Linked DNA regions of Macaca mulatta. The protein of the gene in region 3 purifies or fractionates together with the protein of the main gene of each other region. This does not show direct contact. Links are inferred from orthologs where the notes say so. Each region holds a gene or a part of one and is shown on either strand. Other genes may lie near its edges. The genes, in order: YAP1, PLEKHA2, MPDZ and AMOT.

Region 1 (7,915 bases), on a different chromosome or scaffold from region 3:
AAAATTTTCATGGTATTCTTTCTGTTTTGTGCTAGGCTAATTAACAGGTTTGGCACAAGCTCAAAATGAGAATAACCAAACTTCCACAAAAGAAAAGATTATAAAGAGGCTCAGAACCAAGACTCAGTAAAGCTCTCAAAATATTACCCATGCTAACAAAGGTATTTAGGTCACACCAAACTTAAACATATACATGGGAGATATAACAGAGCTCTAGAGCTTAACATAAATATTAAAAAAAATAAAAACAAATGATATTCTGTATCTTGACACCACTTTACTGTGTCTTCCAATACATATTTTTCTTAGATAACTGTCTCCCACCATTATTTTCACTTACTTTAAGAAGTATCTCTGACCAGAAGATGTCTTTGCCATCTCCCAACCTGCTGGCAGAGGTACATCATCAGGTATCTCAAAAGAAGACTGTCGAAGATGCTGAGCTGTGGGTGTAGCTGCTGGACCAGAGACTACTCCAGTGGGGGTCAGTGTCCCAGGAGAAACAGCTCCCAACTGCAGAGAAGCTGGAGAGGAATGAGCTCGAACATGCTGTGGAGTCAGGGCTCCTGCAGTGCCTGCATCAGTACTGGCCTATTAGGAATATTAAGATGAAAAATTAAAAAAGAAACACAACTTTTTAGAGAGTCCCTTTAAATTTCCCAGTCAGTGCTTAATTGCAGCCGAGTATCTAAGTGCCAAAGGAAAATTTCAACATTTAATATTCGACACTAGAGAACACAGGTTTTCAAACGGATACTTTTAATATTATATAATTTTAATATGTTTTATATTTGTGCTTTTATTGATGAGCAGTCCATCTAATGAATTTCCACCTACTACACACCAGACATGTAAGGGCAACTAGTACTGAATGAATAAAACATTCCAAAAATAATAGTGAATTTTAAAACCTAATTTTTAAAAAGTCACTGCAGTTATGGGTGCTTTTCCAAGTTCTAAAATGTTCTAAGTATAAACACAACGCAAACAATATGCATTTTTTACTAGGTTTTAAGTAATTAATTTTTTTTTCTAGGTCAAGCCCAAGAAAAAACAAGCCCTCGTCATTTTTTCCCACCATGATAAAACGCCATCAATAAAGAAATCATAACAAATTACACAATTTTTAATGAAAGCAACAAATTTGAACTGCCCAAATGTTCTTAAAAGCCATCTACAATGAACAAGATGAAAAAAACTCAACTATATATTTGTATGTAGAAGATAATGAGGTTATCAGTCCAATTATAACTTAAGAACTCACAGACATTCACAACTCTATACAAGCAGAAAAAATTCTGCATTCAGACCCCAAAGATCTGAGTTCCAGTCTAAGCTGGCTAGTGTGACACTGAACAAGTATGTTAACTTCCATATGCCTGTTTTCTCGTTTGTAACATAGTTTTCAAGACAGAAAAATGGATGTATATAAAACAACTTATAGTCACCAGTTTGTGTTGTGAACAATAGTATTCACAACCTACATTCTACTATTCACAATCTTGCATAGTTTTTAAAATGTGTCTAATTAGAATTAAGAGTTTGATTATCAAAAAGTTAGAATTTCCTAGATTCACAAAGGTAAGGAAACCGGAAGGACTCAGTAGAGTCATTAATGCCTTAAAGTGATAGACCTTTCTGAGTGTCCCATCAGAATAAGTATGATTTAGAAAATCACTAGCAGAAATAAAAGTCCAATTTACAGATGAGCAACACTTAGTTAAAAACTTATTAAAAACAAAACTGTAATAGTTTATGAATTTTAGAACTGCTGGATATAAATTCTTGTAAAAATTACCTACTAGAAGAAAAAGTACACTTTCCAGTTGTGACTCTTTGTCACAAAATGGGGGATCCAATCTATGTGTAGTATACTTTGAAAAAATACCGTGTAGTCTGCAGGGTGCATGCCAACACACATTTACTTACAATGAGTCCATAAACCAACTTCCAGGGGTAAGAAAAAAAGCATACCTAAGTCTATCTCTGACAAATTGAACTGTTTAGGCAAGCAGCTAAATTGTTTTTCCTTCCTTCCTCCTCCTTAACCCGGGTTTTTGTCATCAGGTTAAGTGAGTTTTTCTGAGTTCCAAAACCCTGTGGTCTCTGACAGAAGAATATACAACAGGCCTGCAAATAGGACAGAGGATGGGAGTGGGGGCGGTAACTCTTCTTTCCACTCAAGTTACAGCCCGAGTAGGCTAACTACATTGCAGTATTTGGAAAACCTATTAACTTTTGGGCAAAGTTCCTATGCTGAAGTTTAGCCTGAAGCAAGTTCTTTAAAAAAAAAAAAAGAAGAAAAAAGAAAAGAAGGAAAAAGAGAGAACCCTACACTAAACAAAACCACTGGGACCTATCGGAATGTTAACACTCTCATTATAAATAGTTTCACTTCTATGCTGAATCAAGCTGGCAAAATAATCGAACGTTGTGTATGTGGAAAAGCAGCCATGTTCATATCCGCAATAAGAATTAAAAAGCAATGGCGATCCTAGAATTAGTCATCGCTTCCCAAACATTAACTTTTAATCACAGTTGAACTAGGCAGGACTTGGCCTATGAGTCAACCCGCAGTGTATTATCAAAGGCTTGTGTTAAAACCTCGGTACTGTAAAGCGCAACTCAGTTCCTGCGCAACGTACAGATGTGGCTAATTCAAAAGCTTTTCAGCCGACTGTAAATAATAGCCTACGATCGGGAAACCAACACGCAACCTACTAAGTTTGATAAGAGCGAGCCGACCCAAGTTCCAAGACACAAGGGAAGCGCAGGGGTGAAAGAACTCCATAAACAACTTCCAGGAAAGTCTGGGCAGGGGAAGCCCGAAACCTGTATTCAGAAATCGCCTAAGCCGCGAGGAAAATAAATGCTTACGGGAGGGGGAGGCGGAGGGGGAGGGGAAATGGGTAGGGGGGAGGGAAAGAAAGAGCAAAAAACTAAATGGACCGGTTCTACCCCCACCTCTAATCAACACTGGAAAACAACAGAACAATTATTTGACTCCCCCAGGAGACTGAAGTGGACCGAGAGGCCGCAAAGGAAAGGGGCCCAGGGCTCAACTTCACAAACTCGGCCGCCGCTGGCAACTCACCCACACACAAATGCCAGAGGCCCCCCTCCCCCTTTCCCGGCCCGGCCCCGGCGGGAGCGAAGGTGCGGAGCGCGCGGAGGCGCGCGCATTGTGCAAGCCCACCGCGGCCCAGGCTCGGCTCTCCCCCACCCCCTTCCTTCCTCCCCACCCCTCCTCCACTCCCGCCAACCTCCCGGGAACCCCGGGAAGAAAGAAAGGAAGGAGGGAAAGCACGCCCCCCGGGGCCGCAACCGCAGAAAGAAACTCCGAAAGGAAAAACAAATCTCAGCCCCGGACTCTGGGAGGAGTGGGGAGCTGGTCACCGCGGCCGAGCGGACGACTCCAGTTCCTCCACTTCGCCGCGGGACCCCCACCCCAGCTAGAGCTCCCGCAACCCCCTCCCCTGGCCAGAGCTGGCGGCCGCGGCTCCCGAGCGCCCCCCCGGTCTGAGGCCCGCCCGACGGGGAAGCGGGGAGAGGGGCGACAAGGTTACCTGTCGGGAGTGGGATTTGGGCTCCGGCGGCTTGAAGAAGGAGTCGGGCAGCTTCCGGAGCCTCATAGGCACGGTCTGGGGCACGTTAGCCGTCTTGGGGTTCATGACGGCGTTGAAGAGCGCCTCCAGGTCGGTCTCCGAGTCCCCGCGGACGTGCACGATCTGATGCCCGGCGGGGGGTGCCTGCGGCGCCGCCTGGGTCGCCGCGGGTGCTGGCTGCCCGGGTCCGGACGGCGGGCCCTGCCCCTGGGGGGGCTGCGCAGGCGGCTGCCCTTGGCCCTGGGGGGCCGGTTGAGGCGGCGGCTGCTGCCCGGGATCCATGGCTTCTGCCTCCCCCGACGCGCACCCCCTAAACCAGGCGGGCGAGGGCTCCGCCCGGACGCCCCGGCTCCACAGGCCGAGGTGGAGAAGCGGCGACGGCTGCGGGCCGGGCGGTGCTGGGCGGCGGGAGCGACGCTCTCCTCGCTCTCAGGGCCGGGGGGCTGCGCCGCGGCCCCGCATCCCCCGCCCCGGCGCCTCCGCCCCCGCCCTGCGCCCCGGCTCCACTGGTCTGGCGGCTGCGCCTCGGGAGGGGCTGCGAGGGACTCGGACCTGCGGCGCCTGAGAACTTTTTCCCTCCAACTCCCTTGACGGAGGCCGGACAGCTCGTTGCCTTTCCCCTCCTCCCCCTTTCTCTTTTATTTCCTTTTCTTGTTCCTTCCTTCCTCCCTTTCTTTTCCCTGGCGGCGGCTGCGCCCGACTGAGACAGAAACTCGCCTCAGACGCCAAAACTAAAGTTGTGAGAAGCGCCCGCCCGCGCCGCCGCGGCCCCGCCTCCTCTCGGCTCTTCCTTCCTCTGCGCGCCCGCCCGCACCGCGGCCCGGCCGGCAGCGCAGGGAAACTTTTCGCTGCAAGTTGCTACATTCCTGCACACTCCCAGCCCTCCGCGCCTCTCCCGGTCGCACGTGACCCGCTCGCCCTGGTCCGGTCCGCCCTTCGCCCGCGCTCAGCCCGGCAGGGGCCCGGAGCGTGCCCCGTGTTCTACGCCGCGAACCACAAACGCTGGGTCCATTCCGAGGCCGAAGTGTGGTCTCTGCGGAGAACGCGGCCGCCCTTGGCCCCAGAAAGTCCTTCCGCCCCGCTCGGCTCCTTTTCCCGGCCCGTGCTCGGGAAAGGCGCTTCCAGCTCGCCTGGACTTGCGAAAGGACGAAGGCCGAAAGAAGTGGAGAGAGGATGTGCGAACCCACCTCCTCCTCCCGCGTTACCCCGGCTTGACCGAGCGGAGCGCCAGTGCGGGCTTAAAGCCGCCAGGATAGATGGGAGTTAAAATAGATACGGTGAGCCGGCGCTGATGTTAATAAAGGTCCATTGTTTTCAGCATTAACTTTATTTTGTAATTCTGTTTCACTTATCTGTTAGTGTGCGAAAACTCACTTGAAAGGGTAAACGGTTACTGTAATTGAAGCTTTGAGACCAGGTCTGTGAGTCAGTGTAACTTAGTAAAAGAAACAAAAACACTACATTTTCTAAATAGTGAAATCACATCAACTGTTTTAGTACTCGAGTTTGCAACATAGTCACTGGAAGCCTCAACCCAAAAAAATCAGTGCTTCTTCAGGTACAAGCATTCATTCCTCTGTACCTGCCTTTCATCCTCAGGGAGCTGGGTGCCTACCCCTGCTATCCCTGTGCCTGGCCCAAGGGTGGACTCCGTTAATGTGGACTGAATAAGAAATGAATGGGCAAGTAGGTCACCCCAGGCACCTGATGTACAAGGAGCCCATTGGAAGCCACTTAAAAACAATGGAAATATGTTGTTTAAGTCATACACTCTGGTTTTTTTTTTTAAGCATCCTTGTTGAGATGTAATTCATATACCATACAATTTTTGTAATATTTGTACATATTTGTATATTTAAGCAATTCAGTGGGGTTTTTTTGGTTTTGTTTTGTTTTAGTATAGTCATAGGATTGTGCAACGTCAGTCTAATTTTAAATGCACTAGCCCATTCTAAGGAAATCTGGCTTTCTTGTTTTAATGATTTTATCTACAATGCTAGTGAAACAGAGGTATAAATAGGATTAAGCAAGGAAAAAGTCCGGTAGCAAAAACATAATCTCTTCCTCCAGCCAGAACATGCCCAAGAGAATTCTGAAGGATCTGTATCACTTGGTGTGGTAGGGCTCGGCCAAAGGAGCAGGCTTCAGACACTCAAAATTCTAACAGAAGATTCCAATCAACTACTCTGAACCCCCAGTTTCCTGTCTGAAGAAAAGGATCAGAGTAAATGACACCCATGACTAGTTCTTGGATTTGTTCCCACTCCTAAATGTCAAGTGCATTTAACGACAAACTTGTAGGTTCTGGAGTTACAGAGTTTTGAGTTCAGGTCCCAGTTCTGCCATTTACTAGCTGTGAGATTTTGGACAAGTTATTTATTTCCTGTTCTTTAATATTAGCATCAGGGGTAATAACACCTGCCTCATAGTTGTTGGGGCATTAAATGAGTCAATGGATATATGGATATAATGTACTTAGCCTAGTTTGGGACGTGCAGTGAGTTGCGCATCAATGTCAGTTGTCATTGTTGTCCCATATTCATAGATGACTTCACAGGTAGTAACATAGCCTCTCCTTGCAGCAACCCTCTCTTTCTAAGCACAGCCTTAGGGACCCTGTTGGTAATCCCTTCCTCTCCTATCCAATAATCAATCCACACAAACAAAATCTTTGGGCAGAAACTGTGCATTAAAAATTTACCTGAAAGAAAACTTTAGGAACCAAAGTGGACCAGGCGTGGGGGTTCATGCCTCTAGTACCAGCACTTTGGGAGGCTAATGCAGGGGTCAGAATCACTTGAGGTCAGAAGTTCGAGACCAGTCTGGCCAAAATGGTGAAACCCTATCTACAAAAAATACAAAAATTAGCCAGGTGTGGTGGCATGTGCCTGTAGTCCCAGCTACTCAGGTGGCTGAGGCATGAGAATCACTTGAACCCAGGAGGTGGAGGTTGCAGTGAGCTGAGATCACACCACTGCACTCCAGCCTAGGCAACACAGCAAGACTCTGTCTCAAAAAAAGAACCAAAGTGATTGAAAACCTGGGATTGGAATGGAAGCTGTCCTTTTACTAGAGCATTTACTACTATGAACACTAGCTAAAGGGCTTAAAGTACAGCAGAGGCTGCTTTGTTCAATATTGTTTCGCCTGCCATTAAAATGAGGACAAAATTACTTTGATAAGTGGCGTGAAAGGGTCTTTGGAGTGACTACATTCTGTAAGCACTTCTGTATCATCAACCAAGATTTTGGAACTTACTATTCCTCGTTTATACAATTTCAGCCACAGTGTAGTAGGGGATACAGATAACATATTCCATCCTTTGTCTACTCCCTTCCTCTTCTGCCCATTTTGTGGAGCAATTATCTGTTGACAGCATCTTAAAATAGGGAGTCACCTTCTTCATACAAAGATTCATGCTTATCCTGAATCATTTTCAATGTCCAGGTAGATCGCTGTCTCAAAATACTCGTCTCCCAATTACTTGACCTCTCAACTACAATGGACCCTCACCTCTACTTCACTTTAGCCACCTACCCGTTCGTCTGTACTCTGTCATCATCAGAAATACTCCAGTAATGAAGTCAGATTATGGTATACCATATTCTTAATAATCATCTGGTTCTCTTATTTCATTACTCGCACCTCATTTATCCTTCACCTCTCCCTTTTCTGCAACCTATCACTCCCTTCCCTTTTCATTTCTGTTATGGTTTGGATGTTTGTGTCTCTCCAAAATTCATGTTGAAACGTCTCCAATGCATCGGTATTAAAAAGGTGGGGCCTTTGGGAGATGATTAGGTCATGAAGGTTCCTCCCTTCTAAATGGGATTAAGAACTTTATACAAGAGGCTTCACACAGCATTCAACTGTTTTGCCCTTTCATCTGTCTGCTGTGTGAGGATACAGCTTCCATCCCTTTAAGAGGATGTAGCAACAAGGCACCATCTTGAAAGCAGAAAGCAGCTGTCACCAGACAGCAAACCTGCTGCTGCCTTGATCTTGGACTTCCCAGCCTCCAGAACTGTGAGAAATAAAATTCTAGTATGTATAAATTATCCAGTCTGTGGTATTTTGTTATAGCAGCACAAACAGCCTAAGATAACATCCTTGCCAATTCAGTTTGGAAATCATAATTCATTGTTTAAACTTCCCATGCTGGGCATGGTGGCTTATGCCTATAATCCCAGCACTTTGGGAGGCTGAGGTGGGTGGATCACCTGAGGTCAGGAGTTCAAGACTAGCCTGGCCAACATGGCAAAACTCTGTCTCTACTAAAAATACAAAAATTAGCCAGGTATGGTGGCACA
Region 2 (7,621 bases), on a different chromosome or scaffold from region 3:
GTGTGTGTACGTGTGTGTATATATATATATATATAACTTATGGACTTATGGTGAACATTTATCCCTCTTGATCCTGGATAACTGAGGCATCCCTATTTATGAACTCCACAGACTAAGCCCAGTTTTGCACACTGGGGCTGGCAATCCTTAAATCCTGGGGGGCTAACATTCAGTTTTTAGTTCTGACTTAAAGAGCAGCACTTCATTCCTCTCCCACCTCAACTGCTACAATCCCTCTCACATAGCTGCCCCCATGAGCACTTCCTCTGCTCTTTGGGCATTTGGTTGCTTCCATCCATTTTTCTGCCTTCCTTGAGAAGAAAGTTTCAACACTTGGAGAAACTCTACCAGAACTTCACCTGGTATTCGAGAAAGTTTCTCTCCAGAGCAGAGCAAGGTGCACATGAAGGTTGGTTAGTTTCAATGTGTTGCCATAAATGCTGCCATGGCTGTCCCCTGTTTTCAGAAGGTGACATCATGGTAGCAAGCATCACATTCAGAAGCAAGCATTACAGCAGAAGTCTGTTAGAATGCAGCTGGTAATTATGTGTTCCTGAGTGCACCATGAGTCAAATTGGGGCCTCCGAAATGTAACTGCATATTCTTGAAATAGTACATCCAGGAGGTCTGGGGGCTGATTTATTTCTGGTTTCTCCAATTTAAGTCCTTGTACTGTACTGTGACCCTGTAACTAATACCCAGTTCAGAGTAGAAGAGCGGCATAGTGCAGTACAAAGAATTTCAGACTAGGAATCCTCTGAAATTGTAGGGACAATTATGTCCACCGTTTCTATTGTTCCAGGTTGTAAAAGATTGGGAAATATAAGTATTATGTTGTGAACAGGAATGTTAGTAAGAGGATGGTAGAAAGCAACAGCCTTCGGCCAGGCACGGTGGCTCATGCCTGTACTCCCAGCACTTTGGGAGGCCAAGGCAGGCGGATCACCTGAGATCACGAGTTCAAAACGAGCCTGGCCGACATGGTGAAACCCCATTTCCATCAAAAAAATAAAAAAATTAGCCAGGCATGGTGGTGGGTGCCTGTAATCCCAGCTACTCGGGAGGCTGAGGCAGGAGAATCGCATGAACCCAGGAGGTGGAGGTTGCAGTGGGCAGAGATTGCACCCCTGCACTACAGTCTGGGTGACAGAGCAAGACTCTGTCTCAAAAAAAAAAAAAAAAGCAATAGCTTTCAAACTTTTCCTTACCTACAACTCCTAAAATGCTGAAAAACTATGTATCTCTTCACACACTTTAAAGTTTGACATCTATAACTTTTAATCGTAGCTTTAAGTGTTCACAAGGGATGTATTCTGCAGTTGTTAGCATGGGATATTTTGAAATAAAACTGTCATATCACTCTTTTTAAGGTGTCCAATAGAATCTAAGTACCATAGTAATATGACACTATCATTCATTTTTAAAATTGAACAAGCAGTTCTTTGACAGCCAGAAATGTTAAATCTATCCCTTTCTTCCTTGAACTATACTTCCATTCCACTTTCCCTAAAGAATTGTATCCAAATGTCAGCTATTTTTATGCTTGAACATCTTTTATTGATTGCCCTATCATATTTTCTGAAACAAAAATGCATATGTAAATTGATTTTACAATGTTAAAAAACATCCTGTGTCCATAAGGCTGTAAGTGTTAAAACAGTTTTTGAGACTAAGTCATCATTACAATTATTAATAACAAGATAAAAATATAGTTTATTGATAGTTAAACAAAATACAGTAAAATAGCATTAGAAATTAGTCTCAATGAGATAGATGAGAATGGATTTTTAAATATATGTATGTTTATATGTTTGCATACATACATCTATAGTAAACAAGTATATGTAAAGAAGTTAAATATTCATCAATTAATATTACTTATTGCAATAATGAGCAGGATGTAATGTCAATACTTCCCCTATTTCTTTTTCTTTTTTTTTTTTGAGATGGAGTCTCACTCTGTCTCCCAGGCTGGAGTGCAGTGGCACAATCTCGGCTCTCTGCAACCTCCGCCTCCAGGGTTCAAGCGATTTTCCTGCCTCAGCCTCCCAAGTAGCTGGGATTACAGGCATGTGCCACCACACCCAGCTAATTTTGCATTTTTAGTAGAGACAGGGGTTCACCATGTGGGCCAGGCTGGCCTTGAACTCCTGGCCTCAAGTGAGAGCTGCCTCAGCCTCCCAAAGTGGTGGGATTACAGGTATGAGCCACCGCGCCTGGCCCTAATAATTTCCCTATTTCTCGTTTTTACGAATGTAAGCTCTGAGCAGCTTTGGTCACATTAATACGCAGATGAGGCTGCAAGGACTTTTGTTATGACAATGTCCAGGGCTGACGAGAGGCAAGAAAACTGGGACATAACCCAGAAAGGCTTATGGCTTCAAAAGGGATCCTGGAATGACTAAAAACACTTTTGCCAGGGAACCTGAGATCTGTTTTTCAGTAAGGCCGTATTTGGTAACATCATTCAATTATGTTAGAGATTTTCCTTCAAAAATTATTCTGTGGGGAGACTTTTTACGCGTGGGGTTGGGGGTATAATGGGAACACTCTCTACTTTCCACCCAGTTGTGCTGTAATCCCAAAACTGCCCTACAAAATAAAGTTTTGCTTGTTTGTTTGTTTTTGAGACAGAGTCTTACTCTGTCACCCAGGTTGAAGTGCAGTGGAAAGATCTCAGCTCACTGCAACCTCTGCCTTCCACGTTCAAGCAATTCTCCTGCGTTGGCCTCCCAAGAAGCTGGGATTACAGGCACCCACCACCAAGCCTGGCTAATTTTTGTATTTTTGTAGAGAAGGGGTTTCACCATGTAAGCCAGGCTGGTCTTGAACTCCCTGCCCTCAGGTGATCCGCCTACCTCAGCCTCCCAAAGTGCTGGGATTACAGGCTTGAGCCATCGTGCCTGGCCAATAAAGTTTATTCTTTAAAAATATTCTAATGATTGATCTGTTTGTGGACAATTCAATTAGGTTTTTCTCCAAAGTTTATGGATAGCAATGAATTGGGAACCGCTTAACCTGTGAAAGGATTTGTATCTGTTAGAAAAGGCTTTCCTGTCTCAGCACAAACACGGATATTTCTCATTGTCCCTTGTCTTGGCCCTGAAGGTTTTTACGACCCAGGGCCACGTCTTTCTTTCCTCTTTTAGAAGTGAGAGAGCTGTTGGGAAAGGAGAAGTGGGAAGACAGAAGCCAGTACGAACTGGCATTCACTGCATCTCAGGGAGATCTAGACAGTGATTCCTTTAAAACTGTGCCCTCTGGGTACCCACTGTTTAAACACCCCTATAGAGGTGATTTAGAAACGCCTTGGGCTGGGTGCGGTGTCTCAGGCCTGTAATCCCAGCACTTTGGAAGGCCAAGGTGGGCAGATCACCTGAGGTCAGGAGTTTGAGACCAGCATGGTCAACATGGTGAAACCCCATCTCTACTAAAAATACAAAATTAGCCGAGTGTGGTGGCACACGCCTGTAATCCCAGCTACTTGGGAGGCTGAGGCAGGAGAATTGCTTGAACCCGAGAGGTGGAAGTTGCAGTGAGCCGAGATGGCGCCGACAAGAGCAACAAGAGCAGAACTCCATCTCAAAAATAAAAAAAAAAACTGCCTCAAATGCACAGAATCCTCATGTCAGATTTTTAGTCATTTGCTGTTTGTCTGAAATTCAAATTTAACTGGGTGTCCAGTATCTACCTGGGCATCCTGTGCAATCCAAGTCGCTCTTTTGAAGAGATGAAAGAGATGAGAAAAACTAATACCTAAAAAGTGTGCAGGCCAGGCATGGTGACTTACGCCTGTAATCCCAACAATTTGGGAAACTGAGACAGGTGGATTGCTTGAGCACAGGAGTTTGAAACCACCCTGGGCAACATGGTGAAAACCCGTCCCTACAAAAAATCAAAAAATCAGCCAGACGTGGTGGCTCACACCTGTAGTCCCAGCTACTTCGAGGCCTGAGGCAGGAGAATGGCATGAACCCAGGAGGCGGAGGTTGCAGTGAGCCAAGATCACACCACCACACTCCAGCCTGGGCGACAGAGTGAGACCCTGCCTCAAAAAATAAATCAATAAAAATAAAAAGGAGACAGTTCTTTTCCAAAGGTCTTTTCCCTTTCCCTCCACCCAATTCTCAAATGGGCATACTGCTTTCTCGCCTCTCACAGGGTGCTCCATTTCTACCCCACCCCACTATCTTTTTTTCATCCTTCTTAAAAGCAAAATATAAGCAGACAAAACAACAAAACTGCCAAAGCTCATGAAGGGAAGAAGGCTCCTGGAGGAAACTTGGGTGAGGTAAGCGGTTTGAGAGGTGCAGAGAGAAATAGACAGGACATCTCTGTCCTGTCATCCCAGAAACACAGGCTAAAAAAAAAAGGAGGGAGAGCAGCAGTTTCTTTACAGCAGAAACTACATTTATGTAAAATGTGTGGATATTCTCCTTTACAGTCTACCCTGTAGACACATAATAAAAGTATTCCAAGTCCAACTACATGTCTGAGAGTCCTTGGTGCTCTCCTGACCTGTTTCATTGGAATGATACTAACCAAGCCTTCTGGTTTTTTCTTCCCCCTTCAGTTCCCATTCACTGCTGCTGCCCTCTCTCACCCCCTCTCATCTCCCAAGCACCAAAAATAATTTGAATTTCAAGCCTTTTTTCGGCCTTCCTGTGGGTGTGGGAGGACCTCCTTTGGGAATTGCTCTGGTTCTAGTCGGCTCCGTCTGTAATTTGGCAAAATGTCTGCACCCTACCCCCAACTTTTCTTCTTAATATAAGGGGAGTTTGGATCCCCACCTCAAAATATATAGTTCTTAGGATAACCAAAGTGACAAGATCCCTCCCAGGGATCCCCACCCCCCAATCCTCCCTCCCCCGTCCCAAAGGGATCCCTTGAGGGTCTGCAGCCTCCACTTACCCCACCCCTGGTTTTGGAAGAACGACTCTCTCTGAACAACAAGGCAGCTCCTCCCTAGCCAGGGGAAACTACCTCCAGCAACAGCTTTAAAAGGCAAGGTGATTGCGAGAAAGAGGAGGGCGAGATCTGGGCTCTTCAGTTCACAGGAGCCAAGGCGAGTTCCTGTTTCAAAGACAGTTTTAACAACTTATCAAGTTCAGAGACTCTGAGTCTCTCTCTCTCTCTCTCTCTCTCCCCCCCCCCTCCCTCCCTCTCCCTGTCTCCTCCACCCCACCCCTTTGTGTGTGTGTGTGTGTGTGTGTGTGTGTATTATTTTCCTTCTCACCAACTCACCCACATGATCCCTCCCATGGTCCTCCGGGTGACACGTGATTTTTCCTTTCTGAAAAAGCCTGTTGCCCAAGCTAGCCTCAAACTCCTGGGAGTTTGAAATCCTCCCTCCTGGGCTGCCCAAAGCAGTGAGATTACAGGTGGCAGCCACCTTGTCTGGCCGTTGAAATGCATCTTTATTAAAAGTTAAAATATAACCAGGATCTGTAGATGTAACCACCCTACCCTCAATCACCCCGGACACCTGCCTCCGATCCATTTCCACCCCGTCTCAGCCCTTCCTTAGCTAGCATCTGTAGACTCTGGTAAATGTTTGTTATTGACAAGAAAAAGGAAAGGGAAAAAAATGAGAACAAGAAAAAGGACCGCACACTTACGAGTTTTCTATGGTTTGGGGCAGTTTTGTTTTTAAGGTTTTAAAGGTTTCTCTTTGAAAAGATGGTATCACAGAACACACAGAACTGCTCTGAAAATGCAACTTCATTTACAAAACACTGCATCAAAATATTACACGGTCATGGAATCTAATGAACTGAACATGCATTCATGAAACTTAAAAAATACTGAGCAATGCATTGAAAAAAGCATGGTAAAAAAAAAGACAGCTCAAGTTAAATAAAACTTACAAAGGTTCTGAACCAATTAATGGCTGGTAACAATGTCATTCAAAAATGCCTATAGGTTTCAATAAAATCCACCATTTATTTCTGCATGCCTAGTTCTTGAAAAAACTGTTTGAAGCTGTGAGGTAGATAGTGGCCAGGAATTATCATGCTGAGTTAATTTTACACCTGAAAGATACAAGGTTGCCATACTTAAAGCTCTTGTTAGGCCAGGCGCAGTGGCTCACTTCCAATACTTTTGGGAGGCCAAGGCGGGTGGATCACCTGAGGTCAGGAGTTCAAGACCAGCCTGGCCAACATGATGAAACCCTGTCTCTACTAAAAATACAAAAAGTTAGCCGGGCATGGTGGTAGGTGCCTGTAATCCCAGCTACTTGGGAGGCTGAGGCAGGAGAATCGCTTGAACCCCGGGGGCAGACGTTGCAGTGAGCCGAGATCGCACCATTGCACTCCTGCCTGGGCAACAAGAGGGAAACTCCGTTTCAAAACAAAAAGAAAAAAAAAGTTGTCGTCGATGCTGGCTTGAGTTGCTTTTTAGTAAAAGACAATACTCAACTAATAAGAATGGCATGAGATAGGATATGTAACAATTTCACCATTCATATACTCACTTTCTGTTTCCTGGTTATATTTTGATTTTTAATAAAGATGCATTTCAACAGCCAGGGAAGGTAGCTCACACTTGTAATCCGACTGCTTTGGGCAGCCTAGAAGGGAGGATCGCTTGAGCCCAGGAGTTTGAGGCCAACCTGGGCACTATAGCAACACTCCCACTCTACAAAAAATTTTAAAAGTTAATCAGGCATGATTCCACACCTGTACTCCCATCTACTTGGGAGAGTGAGGTGGAGGATCACCTGAGCTTAGGAGTTGGAGGCTGCAGTGAGCTATGACTGCACCACTGCATTCCAGCCTGGGTGACAGAGTGAGACCCTGTCTTTGAAAAAAAAAAAAAAAGGCATTTCCAAGACCTCCATAGGAAGCAGAATTTTTGGTGCCCTGGGACAGATTCAGTTCAAGCTTTTCATGACTTTGTTTCTCCTTGCCCTTTTCTTGATGAAGGCGGTGCTCACAAAATTGGTTATATTTTTTTCTTTGTTTTTTGTTTGTTTGTTTGCTTGCTTGCTTGCTTGCTTGTTTTTTGAGACAGAGTCTCACTCTGTTGCCCAGGCTGGAGTGCAGTGGCATGATCTCAGCTCACTGCAACCTCCGCCTCCCAGGTTCAAGCAATTCTCCTGTCTCACCCTCCCGAGTAGCTGGCATTACAGGCACCCGCTACCACGCACAGCTTATTTTCATATTTTTAATAAAGACGGGGTTTCGCCATGTTAGCCAGGCTGGTCCCAAACTCCTAACCTCAAGTGATCCGCCCGCCTGGGCCTCTGAAAGTGCTGAGACTACAGGTGTGAGCCACCGCACCCAGCCCATTTACTTATTAAAAAAAAAAAAAAATTAATCAGGCTGCTGTGGTACCAATTGTTATATTCTTTGGAAAAGCAGTTTTCAAGAGCCTTAAAATATTTTTATTTGGCCCAGTGATTACCCTCTGGAAATCTATCCAAAGAAAATGATCTAAAATTGCAAGTGAGAAAAAATTAAACATAATGTGTTCTGGGACTGAATTATGCCTCCCCGTAACCCCCAATTCACATGTTAAAACCCTAATCCCAGTAACTCAAAATTGACTGTATTTGGAAGTAGAGCCTTTATAGAGATGACAAGTTAAACAGAGTCTATTAAAATGGGCCCTAATTCAA
Region 3 (7,930 bases):
CAACTGTGAGGAAATAAATTCCCGTGGTTTCAGCCGCCCTCCCACTCTGCGGTATTTTGTCAAGGCAGCCCTATCAAACTAATACAGATTTTGGTACCAGGAAATGGGGTGCTGCTGTAACAAACACCAAAAATGTGGAAGTGGCTTTGGAACTGGGTAACAGGTAATGGCTACAAACGTTTTAGGGTGCATGGTAGAAAAAGACCAGATTGCACTGAAGAGGTTGTTAGAAATATAGACACTAAACGTGTTTCTGGTAAAGTCTCAGAAGGAAATGTGAAACGGGTTACTGGAAAGTGGAAACTTCAAGAGATAAAATTCAGCCTATACTTCATTGCTCTCCATTAATTGCTCTTCCCCATCCAAACTTTTCCCCTGGGCACAAACCCTCTATCGCACTCCAGAAATATACAAATTGAATACGCTCTTCAGTACCCACTGCCCACTCACATCCAAGCCTCTTCCATACACCATGTCAATTTTCAAGGCAAAACCACTGACTTAAGCTCACTTCATACCAAAAATCTTTCATTTCCACCCTCTTATCTCAAGACCAAAGCCCCCTCTGTGTGTTATTTACTAACCACAATGATAAGAGCAAGTAATCCCTATACTTAACTACTTTCCTAGAATCCCTGTAACATTTTTTATGTGTAAAACCTTTCTATAATTTCTCCCATTAGATTCTTGCAACTAAGACCCTATGCTACTGGAGCAGAATCGTATTTATTCTGTGTTCTCCTCAATGCCTAACCCAATACAACAGTCTTCCTAATCCACCTATTACTACCTATTACATGAATACCTCGGATCTTCTCTGGAAACAAAGCACAGGAAGGCAATGGATTCCTCACCACTGGTTTCCTTTATTGAGAAGTAGTTATTTATCTCCTTAGTCTTATTATCCCACATGGAATCCCACTAAAATTATTTAATCACAATATATCAATGTTACCATGCTAAATATCATTTCCGAACTGTACTTATATAAATGTTCCCCTTTGTATGACACTAATTTACAAGAAAAAAATGAAACTTTTATTGTTATAAATATGGAGTTGATAATGTATGTAACAATATCAAATGAAATCCTACTTCAAGCCAAATAACTATTTTTAAAAGTACATGTAACTGTTTTGGACATATATCATCATTTATAGGCACCATCAAGCAGTCCTAAATTCACCAGGAAGTTGTCTGCTTCTTCACTTTAAAGTGTAGGATCTTTCTCTGGCAGATGTGCTATTCGCTCTACCATATTTGGGGACATTCTGGTCCAACTTTGCCTCAAAATATTTCATGAAATTCAGAGTACTTTGTATGTTTCCAAATATACAAAATGTAGCCAACCTGCAGCTCAACCTGAGAGACAAGACTATGTCGGATCTGGGATGTAATCTGGAGAAAATAATCTGCCTCTAACTCAGGATAGCTACGTTCCGGGCAATTCATTGTTCTTCTCCAGCTTTTAAATCCCTTAATCTCAATTCTAGACAATGGATTCACTTCATCATTTGTCAAGCAAAATCTCTCCATCCTAGCAGTTAAAAACTAAAAGTGGCCAACTAGGCCTAAATCCATGAAAGTTACATTTCAAGGATTTCCAAGAATCTCTCTCAATAGCTTCAACTTGTAGAAATAAACTAGACTCTGAGAACAGCTTCTATTCCTCACAGTTAGGTGCATTTAAATGCATCTGAAAAGGAAAGATGTCTTTAAGGGCCAACGAGAGCAATGTCTAGGTGATAGGACTTTGAAACACATTAAAAACTGACTAATGATCCCTCCCTTTCCAAGCCACAACCACCAGGCCCAGTCAATAAAAAGAAGTGTGGTAAAGAGACAAAACCAGAACTAGAGAAGGTACGTGAAAAGAATAAACACAGAAAGGAACAAAGGGGAAAAAAAGAAACATATGTAAGAAATAAGGTACACCATAATCTATTAGTAATACGTTGAGAATAATCTTCCTAAGTTTGTTCGTTTTGGCAAACGAGATAGGAAAGAGGAATGGAGAGTCAAAGGGTACCCAAAACTAGTTTTGCCTACGTTGCACACAAGGGCACAGGTGCATCCATCCAAAGCGCGGTATTGTATTAGAAGATCAGGTCAAAGAACTTCAAGTTTTGCTAGGTTTTTATTTATGTTTTTTATTTACTTATTTATTTATTGAGTCAGAGTCGTCTCGCTCTGTCGCCCAGGCTGGAGTGCAGTGGCATGATCTCGGCTCAATGCAACCGCCGCCTCCTGGGTGCAAGCGATTCTCCTGCCCCAGCCTCGCTAGTAGCTGGGACTACAGACGCGTGCCATCACGCCCCACTAATATTTGTATTTTTAGTAGAGACAGGGTTTCATCATGTTGGCCAGGATGGTCTTGAACTCCCGACCTCAAGTGATCCACCCACCTCGGTCTCCCAAAGTGCTGGGATTACAGGCGTGAGCCACTGCGCCTGGCCAAGTTTTGCTAGGTTTTTTAAACACTATTGTTTGCCGAAATTCCATCAAGTGCTGAGGCATACATTATACAAATTTAGATGGTTCCAACATTACAAGATGTTCACTGTAATCACTCACACCCAAATTCAACATGTAAAACTCCCAAGCCCGAAGCCATCACCTCCTCCTCGTTAGTTTTCAGATAAGGTGTTATTCTATAAAAGGTAACCTAAACCAGGAATTTCTAGGGAAACACGAAGGGGATGTTTACATCAAACTATCTACAAGGCAGGTCAAGGCAGTCTGGTCACTTATCAGATTCCTTCTCTATGACATCAAAAGAACATGGAGAAGTTTTCCTTCTAGGCTGGTGAAGTCATAGTCCTCTTATCTATCTGGTGATACCTACCAAACACTAGCCTCCAACCACAGCCCCCACTGCACAAAGACAGTGCCCATTGCCGGGGTCTTCCCAAGCAGAGCACCTCAACAGCGCCACCGCGGAGGAGAGGTCCCCGGGGACCCCCCACTCGCCCCCAGGGACTGCGCAGTGGCCTCCACCTCCCGCCGGCGCCTGGCCACTTCTCCTCCCCCGCAGTCTCCGCTTGGATTTCCATGTGACTGCAGGGAAGAATAGCCCGGCCTTTGTGCCTCTGCAAAGAATGCAAGCAAAAATGTACACCATCACCACCCGACAAACGCGCTACTCCGCAAGGCACAAAGCGTCTCCCAAACATCGCTTCCCTAGGAACATCCGGCATCCTGGGGCTGCCAAATCACAGACAAAGGCGCCCATCAGAGCGGGGGGTGAGGGCATTAAGGGAGAGACAAGACCAACATGCTCCCACCAACGGGAGCTGCGGTTAAAAGGGCATGGGCGCCAGGGGGGGGGGGACGGGGAACCGGTACCAATTAGCGGCTTGCCTTGGGGTCCCCGAGGCTAAGGCGAGAACGCAGGACCGGGAGCATTGCTGCCCACTCTCTACCGCACCCCGCGCAGCCCGGCACCGCGTAACGGCGGACAGGGCATTCGGGCGCGGCCCCGGCAGCGGAGAGCAACAGGCTCCCGCGCCCCGGAGGCCTGGTCTGCGCTCCGGACCCCCAGGCTAACACCCCACCCCCCGCCCCCCGACACCAAGACTGTGCCCCTCTGGGTCAAGGAAAAGGAAGAACTTTTAAACCTCTTAGAGTCAGCGAGAGCAAAAGAAAGGGGTAGGGGTGGCTGAAAGGTCTAGGATTATCCATCGCGGGGGTGGGAGGAGTGGAGACTTGCGAGTAGCAAAGGAAACTTCTAGACCCCATCCTTTTAAAAAGCCACAGCAGCGGCATCCGCGAAGCGCCTGGCCGCGCGGGGTGGGGCAAGCGCACCGCCCCACAGCCCGCCGCCACCCCCACCCCCGCGCGCCGAGCCCCGGGCGCCCGCGCACCTTCCCCGCCGGCGCGCGCGCAGGGCGCGGGGGCGCGCCTCGGCCTCCGGGCCTGGGCTCACGCGCCGCTTACCCGGCTCGCTGCGGCCGCCCAGGGCCGGGACGCGAGGGGGCAGAGGGCTAGGGAGCAGGGGTCGCCGGGGCCTCTGGATGCCTCGCTTCGCCCACGCTCGCTGTCTTCTGAAGTAACGGCCCGGCGAGGAGCTTCGGGATCAAAGCGCACACTCACGCGTGACTGAGAAACTTAATCCCGCGGCGGCCCGACGCCAGCCTCGCGCTCCGCCGCGCCCCCTCCCCCAGCGCGCGCCGCACTTGCGCCGACCGGGGCTGCCGCGGAGGCGGCGGCGGGGCCCAGGCTGCTGGGGCTGCCGTGACGCCTGCGACCGGCGGGGCGGCGGGCGCGCCTCGGCCAATCAGGGGACGCGGCCTAGCGGGCCGGTGCGGGATTTTAAACTCGCTCCTGGGCCGCTAGGCCTGGGGTGTGGGTAGTGGATTTATGAGGTGGTCAGATAAAATACAGACTGGCCTGTTAAATGGGAATCTCAAAAAAGGAATAATTTTAGTACAAGTATATCCCTTGCAATATTTGGGACGTACTTATACTAAAAAGTTCTTCATTGTTTATCGGAAATTCAAATTTAATGGCAGTCTTGAGTTTTTATTTGCCGATTTTGTCAACCTGCGGAAACTGATAGCCTGTTTCTGGTTCCTCAGATTTTTCTTATGTGCACTGCCCTGAGGATGCTTTCTGCATGGGTAGCTTACTAAGTGGCATAGGATGCTGATGAGAAGCGCTTTAATCAGAAAGCGGGGCGGGGGGGGGGGGGCAGTCGTCTCACTTTCTAAGAAACTTTTCGCACATCAGGGTGCATTCTTAGTCTGATGATCCAATTTAAAAGCAAAAACAGTAAACATGGAAAAGTTATTAGAGTTACATGGCCCCAGGAAGAACAGATATTCATTTTTTATTTTGTGCCACTTAAGATTTTCTTTCTGTTATCCTGAATTTGGAAGTCCCACGAAATTTTTTCTGCATAAGAAACTCTTTTTCAAAACATCTCTCTAATATTATAGTACCAAAGGATACTCAGAAGTCCAATTTAGAACATTTAATAGAATTTCTCTTATTATTCTGAATAAAAATACTCTTTTCCCGTATTCCTTGGCCTTTCAAACACAGTCACAGCTGTTGACCTCTCTCTTCCTAGAGCCCTCCCCACCCCACCCCTCCTGTAATTCCATGCAATCACACTCTTGGTTTTGCTCCTTCCTCTTAGTCAAGGGTGGAGGTATGGGCTCTGAAGCTTGTACAATTGGGGGTCTGCTTTAACAAAAAACAAAACAAAACAAAACTTTCTTTTGAAAAATCGAAAAATAAACGTCCCTGTAAACACATTGCTAGGGTTGCTCCCAGGCAAGAGAAGGACCCAGAATGTTAAACTACTTCAGTTTCCAGGTAGATCTGCCCCTGTCACTAGGCCACTCTTCAGTCTTCTTTGCCACCTCTCCCCCAACCTTTAGATGCTGGAGTTTCTTAAAAATCAGTTACGGGCCCTCTTTTCCTTTTAACTCTTACCTCTAAATACGTTTTCACTTCTAGCTTATCATCTAGTAGCTATGGAATCTTTCTTACATTCATACCTTCAGATTTATCCATATATTCAAGTGTTTATTCGACTTCCCTCTTTGCTTGTCTCAAACCTAGATTGCAAAAAAAGAAAAAAATGCAACCATGATAATTCTGCTCAAGCCTGGTCATCTTCCACAGTTCAGTGTCCCAGTGAATGGAACTGCCATAGATACATGATTCCCACAAACTAGGATAAACCCATTGTGATGCATTCTTATTGTACCCTATGCTTTTGCTTCATAATATTTATCCTATTTTGTAAATATGCACTTAATTTTGTAATTATGCAATGTCTCTTCCCACTTCAACCATAAAGCCCATGAGAACAGGGGCTGTCACCATTTTATCCTCAGAGCCTAGTTAAAACTTCACACTTGGTTGGCACTCATATGAAATAGGATGAATATACAACTGCAAGAATGAACAATTTGTCCATATAACTTTTGTGTTCTTGTCATAGAGTCATCTCAAGGCATCCCATTTGGAAAGGATTTTCTTATTGCTTAGAAATTCCAAAGGGCTCCTCCTCTTTGAATAGCACTTCTACTTGTCAGTTTTCAAATCTGGTCATTCTCAAATACAAAGGAAGTATGTGCATGAAATGTTAGCTGCTGGGATAGTGTAGGAGGAAAAGAATTTCTTAACTAGCTACTGAAGGAATTCCGTGAGTCCTAAAATTTTAAATGGCGTTTTTTTATATTGAACCATAGGGAAAGAGCCCATAAAACTGAATTAGAGGAAAGTTTTAGAAATTTAACTCTCTGATTTATTGTGGATAAATGAGATTAAAACAAAGGATTTTACCTTGGTTTAAAAGGTGCTATTGTTCTAGTCTCCTTTAGCCAAGCAAAATCCATGTGCCCTCTTTAAACAACAGTGTATCAGAGGATAAAAAAAATCTTGTTTAGATTAGTCCTTGCATAAAATTATCCAGCGTTTGGGGATAATTCCACCCAGAAGTTTCTCCTTTTGAAGTTAACCTGCAGAGCTATTGCTCTATTCTCTGTAACTTGTTCTAATCCAGAAAACCTAAGATTTTCTAGAAATCCACCAGGGATATTGCACTAAAAAAAATACCTAAAATAGAAGTTAAAAACATTAAATTAGTTGAAATAAAATCTTGCAGAGAAAGACAAAGTGTAAAGCAGATAGACTCTGTGGGATGGGTTGAAACTTACCCCGTAAGTAAATGGATTAATAATGCTTTCTATTTCATGTCAATATAGCCTCTGGGGTCATTCCACCTGTATCCTCAGTGAGGCATTCTCCACAATAATTTGTTTTTCTCAAATTTGAGTTATATTCAGAGGACTTTTATAAGGGAAAAAGTCCTGGAAACTTCTGAGATTGGTTTAAATGATTGGTTTATTATTTATTGTTCATCATAATTGAACAAGTACAAATATAAACTATGTATATGATATTGTTTTACATTTGTGGCTTCTCTACAACTCTAAAACTAGTGAAAGGCCCAGGTTGTCTACTCAAAACCTTCAACAGCTGCTGAAAAGACAGATCCTGGAAATTGAAGTTTTGATCCATCACAATAACAGAGGATTCTTTTAGTTGCCTGCTGAGCACACAGTCTTCATTCTGCTTTTTAACAGCAGATAGCCAAGGCGTGGGTGAGACCCCCATGCTGGGAGATGTTACTCCAGAACTGCAGGGTTAGAACTCTGTATGAACTAAATCTTTTCCCAAGGACTAAGTGATTTGGGGTAATCCTAATAGTGGGATGATGGGCTATTTCCATCACCTTTAGCCAGCAGTGACTCTTAGTAATGATGCAGCATTTAAATGCAAACTAGATGGCATGCTTGCCAGTCCCTCTACCTAAGGGATATCTAATACATAACAACTGTGCAGTTTTAGTTTATTATAGTTTGTAGATTTTTTGTGTTGTCTATTGGCTGACTGACTTTATGGTTTCAATTTGCCTCAAATGTCTCAATTAAAAGAAGAGTTCAGATAAATTTTTTTTTCAGTTTGTTCAATGTTAAAAAACATTTTAAATCCTTAATTTTTTCTCTCCATTGAAAACAAGTCAAGGTTGAAGAAAGAAGATAAAGAAGAAAGAGAAGAATGTTAGGATAATGGATATGTATGTGTCTAGGAGAAAGCCATTAGGGGGGAGAGAATGACTAAGAGAGAATCCCAGGAATGAGAAAAATGTAAAAATTATTTCTCTTTTGAGAACATACAGAGTAATCTGTCTCTCTTCATATAACAAACTGTTTATAGAGAGATAAAGGCTCTGAAATCTCCAGTGTGTCTGATTAGGCCTCATCTCTCTAAGCATGAAAGAAAGGGCATTGGGAGGTCATGACCTTCTGACCTTGAATTCATCTGCATTTGTACCCACAAAATTCTAACTCTATAAGGAAATTCCAGGAGAAAGCATTGGGACCAGGTTAATTTTAGGGAGAAACACATCCAA
Region 4 (7,132 bases), on a different chromosome or scaffold from region 3:
TGCATACTGAATTGAAAGTAATCACTGATACAGCACAAATAAAGCCTCTGTCGGGTAAACACCAAAGCATTTTCCACACGGTACTGCATTTTAAAATAGCTAACTTTATTGTCAGTGAAAAGATAGGCACAAAGTGGATTTAAACCTGCTTAACTTTATTGGAACTAGCTCAGTTGATTACAGAATGGGGTCACAATCATTAGGGGACCACATACATTTTAAACCAAAGGCGATTCTTCTCTAGCCATCTGCCAACCCCAGCTATCCATTTTACAAACACATGCCATTAATCACAAGGGAGGCCAGAAGGAGGTTTCATGGCTCCATGTAACCCATCGTTGCTACTGGAACAAAATAAACAAACTCCCGACACTTGTCCTACTGATGATGGATGGCACTTGGAAGATACATTTCCAAGAATCGTGGCAGGCTGAAATTGGTGGCAATTAGCCCACAGCTGATATCTTCCTTAGAAAACATTTTCAGTAAGAATGCACGTTTTAAGTAACATACTCCATATGCGCATAAGCAATTGAGATAATAGGAGATTGTGTGGCTAACAGATATGAGAATATAATTGATCAAAGTTAGTGCATATGTATACACTTTAAGCTGCCGCATTATCAGGGTTTAGGCTTGTCATAAAAAGTAGTTTGCACAATCAATCAGTTTGTTCATCTTCCAATTGTTATACCCACTCAACAGAGTAACAACAAAAAGAGAACATGACGGGTCTCTGGGTATCTTTCCTATGGCAGATGATGGCAGATATTTTAGGTTCCTGCTGTCCTATTACCTTGAAGCTCAAAAGCAGCATTAAAAGGAAATCCTTCATTAAATCAACAATCAAGATACATGATTTTAAAAGAAAGCTCAAGCTACTTTTATTTCAAAAAAGACTGTTAATAGGAGTTTCATATCAAGTAAAGTTTGTTCTAATGAAGTTTTTCTATACATGGAACATTGGGGTACAACTGACTTAGAAGGTCCTCAGAGACCACCAAGCAGTACAAGCTAAGACAACCTGGTCACCCTCCTTTCCTGAGGTGCCAGTAAAATGCACAGATAGGTAGGAGTCCAGAAAGAGCCCCCAAATGTTACATCCACACAACTGTGAAAAGGTGGCTAATTGAGATTTCTCCCATAAAGTTGAATTTTTGGATCAACAACTAGTGGAGATCTTCTGAAAAGGCTCTATCTATCTTCTGCATAATATACTGACATACTCTTCTTTCCTCTCTTAGATGTACAATGTTATTTTAGCGAATTATCCGGATTGGAAACTGAGCAGAGAGGAACTGTCTCTGGTATGAGAGGACAGATAGGTTCCGGAAAGTTCAAAATAGTACTTAACCAAGAACTTCTTCCTTTCCCCCAAACACATGAGTCTAAAGAGATGGCTACCACACAATGTGGAATGTATGACATTTGTCACCTTGCAGAATGTGATTAAAATCATGGTTCCCAGAGCCAGCAAAAAGTCTGCCAATGTGTTATAACCATGAAAGGAGTAGGTGAAAAGTGTTTTTAAATTATTTATTTGGATAGAAAGTAGCTCTCCTGAAGTTTGCTACTTGCTGCTTCTACTATTTGAGGTTATTTTTCTCCTTACGACTAAAGGGTAGTATGAAAGAGTCTTAACACAACTGCATTTTTAATTTCTATCTGAGATTCACTTTATAACTGAGGACTAATGTGTATGTAACATGATTACCTCATTATTGAAAATGTGAAAGGACTAGCTGAAAATCACATCACCCTTCCTTTATGTCTCTCTCTTTCTCTACACACACACACACACACACACACACACACACACACACACACACACAGAATAATTCCTTTGGAAGGTAATTAGGAAAGATATCATTCCTATACTCACAGAGGAACCCCAAAAGATTATCTAAGATACCCAATCTCCTAGTAAGAAGTGGGATTGGTTTCTTAGGGGGGACATTTATGTGACTCGATGTTGTAATGCAGATCAGAAAAGGGAAAACCTTTTAAAAGGCACTGAAGGAGAGGCAAGACAGAAATTCAGTAGTTTGTCAAGACTGGACAAGCTACTCCAGCCAGGGACATTTTACAAGATACATATTCCCTGGACCATGAAGATGTCTTTTCGTAAAATGGAATTAAAAAAAGATAAGAGCTTCCCAAAATAAGCATGGTGATTGGCATAATGGTTAGCTGTGTTGTGTGACTTTTAAAAAGTCACTGAACCTCTCCAGTTCTCAGATTCCTCATCACTAAAATGAGGGGGTAGGGCTCTATTGCTAAAGTTCTCTCCCACCGCTATGGCTCATGATGTAATATAACAGGCCTACTCTTCTATTAATCTGGTTTCTAACTAAGACATCCCAAAACCTCTACCCCCCCTACCCTTACCTAACACCCCCCCACCTTCCCTCACCCTCCCTATACCCCTTAAAACTGATCTTAATGATGCTATCTGCAGATTTGTCACCTTAATGAAGGGCAGACAGGTGACACAGGGCAGGGTCCTGTGGCAACTGGCATCCTTCTGTGTTCTTGGAGGCAGCCCTATGGCAAGGCTTGGAACCATTGCCTCCTTTGATCTCTACCCACATGCACATTTCCCGCTGCTTCCCAAAGGTATTCCAAGATGGAGTCACTGACAGTGAGAAGAGGTAGTTGAGGATACTGCTGCAATCCACCTCTCCCCCGACTGCAGCATAGTACTTTGGGTTTCTCATGTTATTCCCTTGGAGATGATAGTCAAAAATGCCTTTTAAGACATATGCTTAGAATTTGACACACAAAACAAGTTATTTCAAAGTAGTCACCAGAAATTCAAAGCATTCAACCTGTCAACAAAGATCCTTCCTCACTTTGCAAATGATTGGCAATTTGAGACTGGAGCCCCAGCCAGTGAATCTGTGCTGTAGAAGAAATAAACACTAAGCTGATTGGTCTTAATAAATGCAAGCAAGCTATGTTCATGGCTACACACAGACCATGAAAGTCTGCATATAGCACCTCACGCAAGTCTCCATCAAGGCCTCTGATGGTCTAACTCCCTAAGAGAGAGGAAGTTGTGCATCACTCAGTTAATGTACTCTCCCAGCATCTGAAAGCAATATATTAATTATCCAAATGCATAAATTATTCCACAGCATATATATGAATGTATGAACCTCCAGGAGGGAACCAAAAGAATCCGTTTCCAAAGCACCACTGAAATGAAGACAAACACAATTCCCTGGGGCAGGGTAGCTGGGAAATTGGAAGAAAAAATTAGCTCCAGCACCCTTCTGCATCCCAAAACTCCCTACCTTTTTTCCAGCTTACATAGCTCCTGAAACTATTCCCTTTTATAAGCCTGAGGTGAGAGCTTTCTCCGGCTGCTGCACAGGATAGTAACTATACAAGACAGCACACACTCAATTCTCTCCAGCTTCCCACTTCCAAACTACGTGTTACACACTGTCTTCCACACATACTGTGCTCTTCAATTAAAAATGATCTAGAATATGGAAATTTTAAACAAATTTAAGCACATTGAAAACACTGATGTATGCCCACCCGTTAACAGTCCCAGTATTTGTATAAATTCAAACAATAAGCTTTAGAGCACATTCGGATTAATCTGTCTTTAGAGGTACTCCCTAAGCATACCAGAATAGACTGGTGGTTCACATGGTATTACTCAAGTAGTACATTGTTCCAACAAAAAGTCCTGTTAAAAAACATCCCCTCCCCCCAACCCTTGTCCTCACCCCCAAAACAAGAACCAATAAAAGGGGGAAATGATTAAAAGCATTTTTGCTGAGAATCTGCAGCTCTTGATTTGGCCGTTTAGATGAGATATTCCACCATCTCTGCATCAGGCTCTTGTCCCAGGATCTGAATGGGAGTTTTTCTTTCCAGAGTATTGGAGTGGAACACAGGCCCATCTAAATGGAAATAAGGGTTAGAAAACACTTAGGGATGAAGAAAAAACCTGTATTTCTAGAACTAGACACCATCAGAGCCCTCATGAAGCCAATGGCAAAGTGAGACTTGTCACCTCCCTCATTTACTTCTGCTAAGATAATGGCCTCCACTCATGCCTGTTCCCATCTTGGTGGATGAGAAGTCATTTACAGACTCTCTTCTCTCTCCCTTAGAACATGAAAAATTCAGTCCAAAGGATAACTCTGCCCAGACATCAGGCAACAAGAAATAAATCTGTATTTGAGAGCAGAACTAAACCAAAAGTTACCTGCTAAAGGGAATAATTACCTGCTTTGTCTGGATTGCAGGTCAAACTTGGTATAGACAAACGATGTGGTCCAGGACCGGTAGCTGGACTTGCAGGAACCTCAGCCTGAGCCACAGCTGGAGTTGGAGTTGGAGCTGGAGTTGGAGCTGCAGCCGTAGCTGAAGTTGGTGCCTGAGTCTGAGCAGGAGCAGAAGCCTGAGCCGCTGCTGAAGCCGGAACTGGAACCAGAGCCGGAGCTGGAACCGGAGCCGGAGCAGCTGGAGCAACCTGAACAGCAGCAGCAGCAGCAGCAGCAGCAGCAGCAGCAGCAGCAGCAGCAGGAGGAGGAGGAGGAGGAGGAGGAGGAGGAGCAACGGCAGCAGCTGAGGCAACAGAGGCAGCAGCTGGAATCTGACCAGCAGCAGCTGGAGAAACAGCAGCAGCAATAGCAGCAGCGGTGGCTGGAGACGGGGCAGCAGCAACAGCAGCAGCAGCAGCTGGAGCAGCAGCAACAGCAACTGGAGTAGCAGCTACCATGGTGGTGGTGATAGTGGCAGCAGTGGCGGTGATGGCGGCAGCAGTGGCGGCGGCAGCAACTGGAGCAGCAACAGAGATGGGAGCAACAGTTGCAGTTTTGTTCGATTCCGTCCCACGTTCAGTTTGGGTACTGCAGTCTCGGCTGCCTGTCTTGGAGTGAGCCGAGGGCAGGGGAGTCGAGGGGGGCACAGGCGAGGGTGTGGAAGGGACATATTCAGCACGGTAGTCTCCACCCAAGAGAATGCCTACAAATGAAAGGGGAACAGACATTAGAAAAAAATAGGTGATTCAAATCCAGACATCTAATTACCTGTTCTCCCATTCAAATTTCAGAAGAAATTTGAATGTGTCTAAATTATTTATTTTTGCCTCCAGGGAACCCAGAAATCAGTGTGTGAGGCTCCTCCAACCATGGCTAAAAGTTTCTTACAGACTTCGAAGATCCCTCTGGTCCTCATCCATCACCTGGCACAACATATTAAGCCTGTAAGTGACCTGGGTATCTGTTTTGATTTATTTTTCCAATGGTGATTGGGTTCCACCAAGTTGTCAGAATGCTCCTACTCGGCTCCACTTATAAACCATTACCACACATTACCAGGGAGCAAGAAAGGATTTGGAGAATAAGTCTATTGACACAGATTAAGTGTGGTAATAATTGTGTGATCTAAGGTTCTCACCATGACCATAGTCTCCAAAATGCTTATTCTAACCAAAAGATATTATAAGTATCAGAGGACCAAGAAAGGAATTAAAAGCAACAAAAAGGGTTAAAATAAAAATACATATAAGCTTCCTTCCTCAGGCTCTAAAAATGTGCCCGTGGTATCCACAATATGTCTGGGGTTTTGATTAGAGGGGAGGGAATGGACAGGAATGGAATGAAAAAGTACATTCTGTTCTCATCTCAGAACACTGTGGGAACAAAACCTGCTACCCAAACGATTTAGCGTAACTAAAACTCTGGGTTCTCCTATTATACAGGAGGAAGGAGCACAGAAATGCTGGAATTTTGAAATTCTGAATGACAAAAAGGCCACATGGGTTCTGGAGAAAGATAAAGGTGCCACATGGCAAAGGTCAAATGTGAGAATATTTTAGAGGAAATTAGAGTTACCTTCCTTCACACCCAAATGAAACTCAAGATTCTTGTCCTCTAGGCTTTGGCCTCAATCAGTATTCTCACCAGGAGACTTCAAAGTGTGGAGGAGCTCCAGAATGTGGAACTAGGGTCTCAGGAGGAATATGAACCCAAAACCCTGGTACACCTTCCTCTCCAGAACCTGGACCATCATCCCTTTTCCTTAAGCATGGGTGCTTGTCTCATGGCTCTCTTTGAACACATGACTATAATCTTCCTTATTTACTGTCATTACCTAGGCTCCCCTTCCAGCTCTTGTCATCTCGCTTTTCTTCCATGATGGGGGTGCCAGTCAGGGTGGATGAGTGGGAGAGCAAGCCTGATCCAGCATTGGAAATGGACATCAGAGACTTCGCTGGCCGCATGCACGACAGCTGCTCTGTCTTGCTCGGCTCCTTCCGGGAACGCTGTTGGAGTACTTTGATCATGGCATCCTTCTCAATAATCTGGGCATGTAGGGTCTTAATCCTAGGAACCAAAGACAAAGAACATATAAAGACCTTGTTGCGGCCAGGTGCGGTAGCTCATACCTGTAATCCTAGCACTTTGGGAGGCCAAGGCGGGTGGATCACAAAGTCAGGAGTTCAAGACCAGCCTGACCAACATGGTGAAACCCTGTCTGTACTAAAAATACAAAATTTAGCTGGGCATGGTGGCGGGCACCTGTAGTCCCAGCTACTCAGGAGGCTGAGGCAGGAGAATCACTTTAACTTGGGAGGCAGAGGTTGCAGTGAGCCAAGATAGTGCCACTGCACTCCAGCCTGGGTGACAGAGCAAGACTGACTCCATCTCAAAAAAAAAAAAAAAAAAAAGATAAACCTGGAAAGGTATCAAATTCATTTCACAAGTCCTCCAAAATGTAAATCAAATTATGCTGTTCTTCATTATAAACAGAAAACTAGATTTTGCTGAATGAATATAAATAAAGCACTATGCCCTTTAAAAAAAAAAAAAAAAAAAAGATGTTCTTGCTACCTCTACATTTTGGTCTAATTGACTACATGACTACATAGAGTTCCCATCATCTTTTTGACTAAAGGTTGATCTAGTTAGTTCTGAGTTGGAAGACAAGGGATGGTGTGCTACAGTTTTTAAAACATGTTTTTCTTCAAGTATAATAATAAAAAATATATATAATATATATAAAAGATGACTTTTCATTCATAAAGGCAATAGTGTGAGAAAAAAACAACAACATGTTTTTCTGCACACCCAAATGGATACAGCAGAGCATCAGGAGCTGTTGCTTA

What was found.
Region 1: the proteins of MPDZ (region 3) and YAP1 purify together in Homo sapiens (affinity purification with mass spectrometry; 6 studies listed by BioGRID and IntAct, with this or other methods). This does not show direct contact. The link is inferred for Macaca mulatta from reciprocal best matches to the Homo sapiens genes MPDZ and YAP1.
Region 2: the proteins of MPDZ (region 3) and PLEKHA2 purify together in Homo sapiens (affinity purification with western blotting; 3 studies listed by BioGRID and IntAct, with this or other methods). This does not show direct contact. The link is inferred for Macaca mulatta from reciprocal best matches to the Homo sapiens genes MPDZ and PLEKHA2.
Region 4: the proteins of MPDZ (region 3) and AMOT purify together in Homo sapiens (affinity purification with mass spectrometry; 4 studies listed by BioGRID and IntAct, with this or other methods). This does not show direct contact. The link is inferred for Macaca mulatta from reciprocal best matches to the Homo sapiens genes MPDZ and AMOT.

What each region holds. Positions count from the first base shown.
Region 1 is NC_133419.1:102,974,875-102,982,789, reverse strand, and holds the start of YAP1 (transcriptional coactivator YAP1), read right to left. Parts: upstream 4,172-7,915; 5' UTR 4,115-4,171; coding exon of another isoform or gene 3,888-4,114; coding exon 3,567-3,887; intron 3,259-3,566; exon of another isoform or gene 3,095-3,258; intron 592-3,094; coding exon 341-591; intron 1-340. Other genes in the region: uncharacterized protein LOC144334584, read left to right, coding at 3,886-4,114, 4,172-4,872. UniProt on the Homo sapiens protein: Transcriptional regulator with dual roles as a coactivator and corepressor. Critical downstream regulatory target in the Hippo signaling pathway, crucial for organ size control and tumor suppression by restricting proliferation and promoting apoptosis.
Region 2 is NC_133413.1:40,836,266-40,843,886, reverse strand, and holds the start of PLEKHA2 (pleckstrin homology domain-containing family A member 2), read right to left. Parts: upstream 5,076-7,621; 5' UTR 4,912-5,075; intron 1-4,911. UniProt on the Homo sapiens protein: Binds specifically to phosphatidylinositol 3,4-diphosphate (PtdIns3,4P2), but not to other phosphoinositides. May recruit other proteins to the plasma membrane.
Region 3 is NC_133420.1:85,866,339-85,874,268, reverse strand, and holds the start of MPDZ (multiple PDZ domain protein), read right to left. Parts: upstream 4,222-7,930; 5' UTR 4,093-4,221; exon of another isoform or gene 3,937-4,092; intron 1-3,936. UniProt on the Homo sapiens protein: Member of the NMDAR signaling complex that may play a role in control of AMPAR potentiation and synaptic plasticity in excitatory synapses. Promotes clustering of HT2RC at the cell surface.
Region 4 is NC_133426.1:119,485,731-119,492,862, forward strand, and holds the end of AMOT (angiomotin), read right to left. Parts: intron 6,351-7,132; coding exon 6,118-6,350; intron 4,987-6,117; coding exon 4,246-4,986; intron 3,918-4,245; coding exon 3,820-3,917; 3' UTR 85-3,819; downstream 1-84.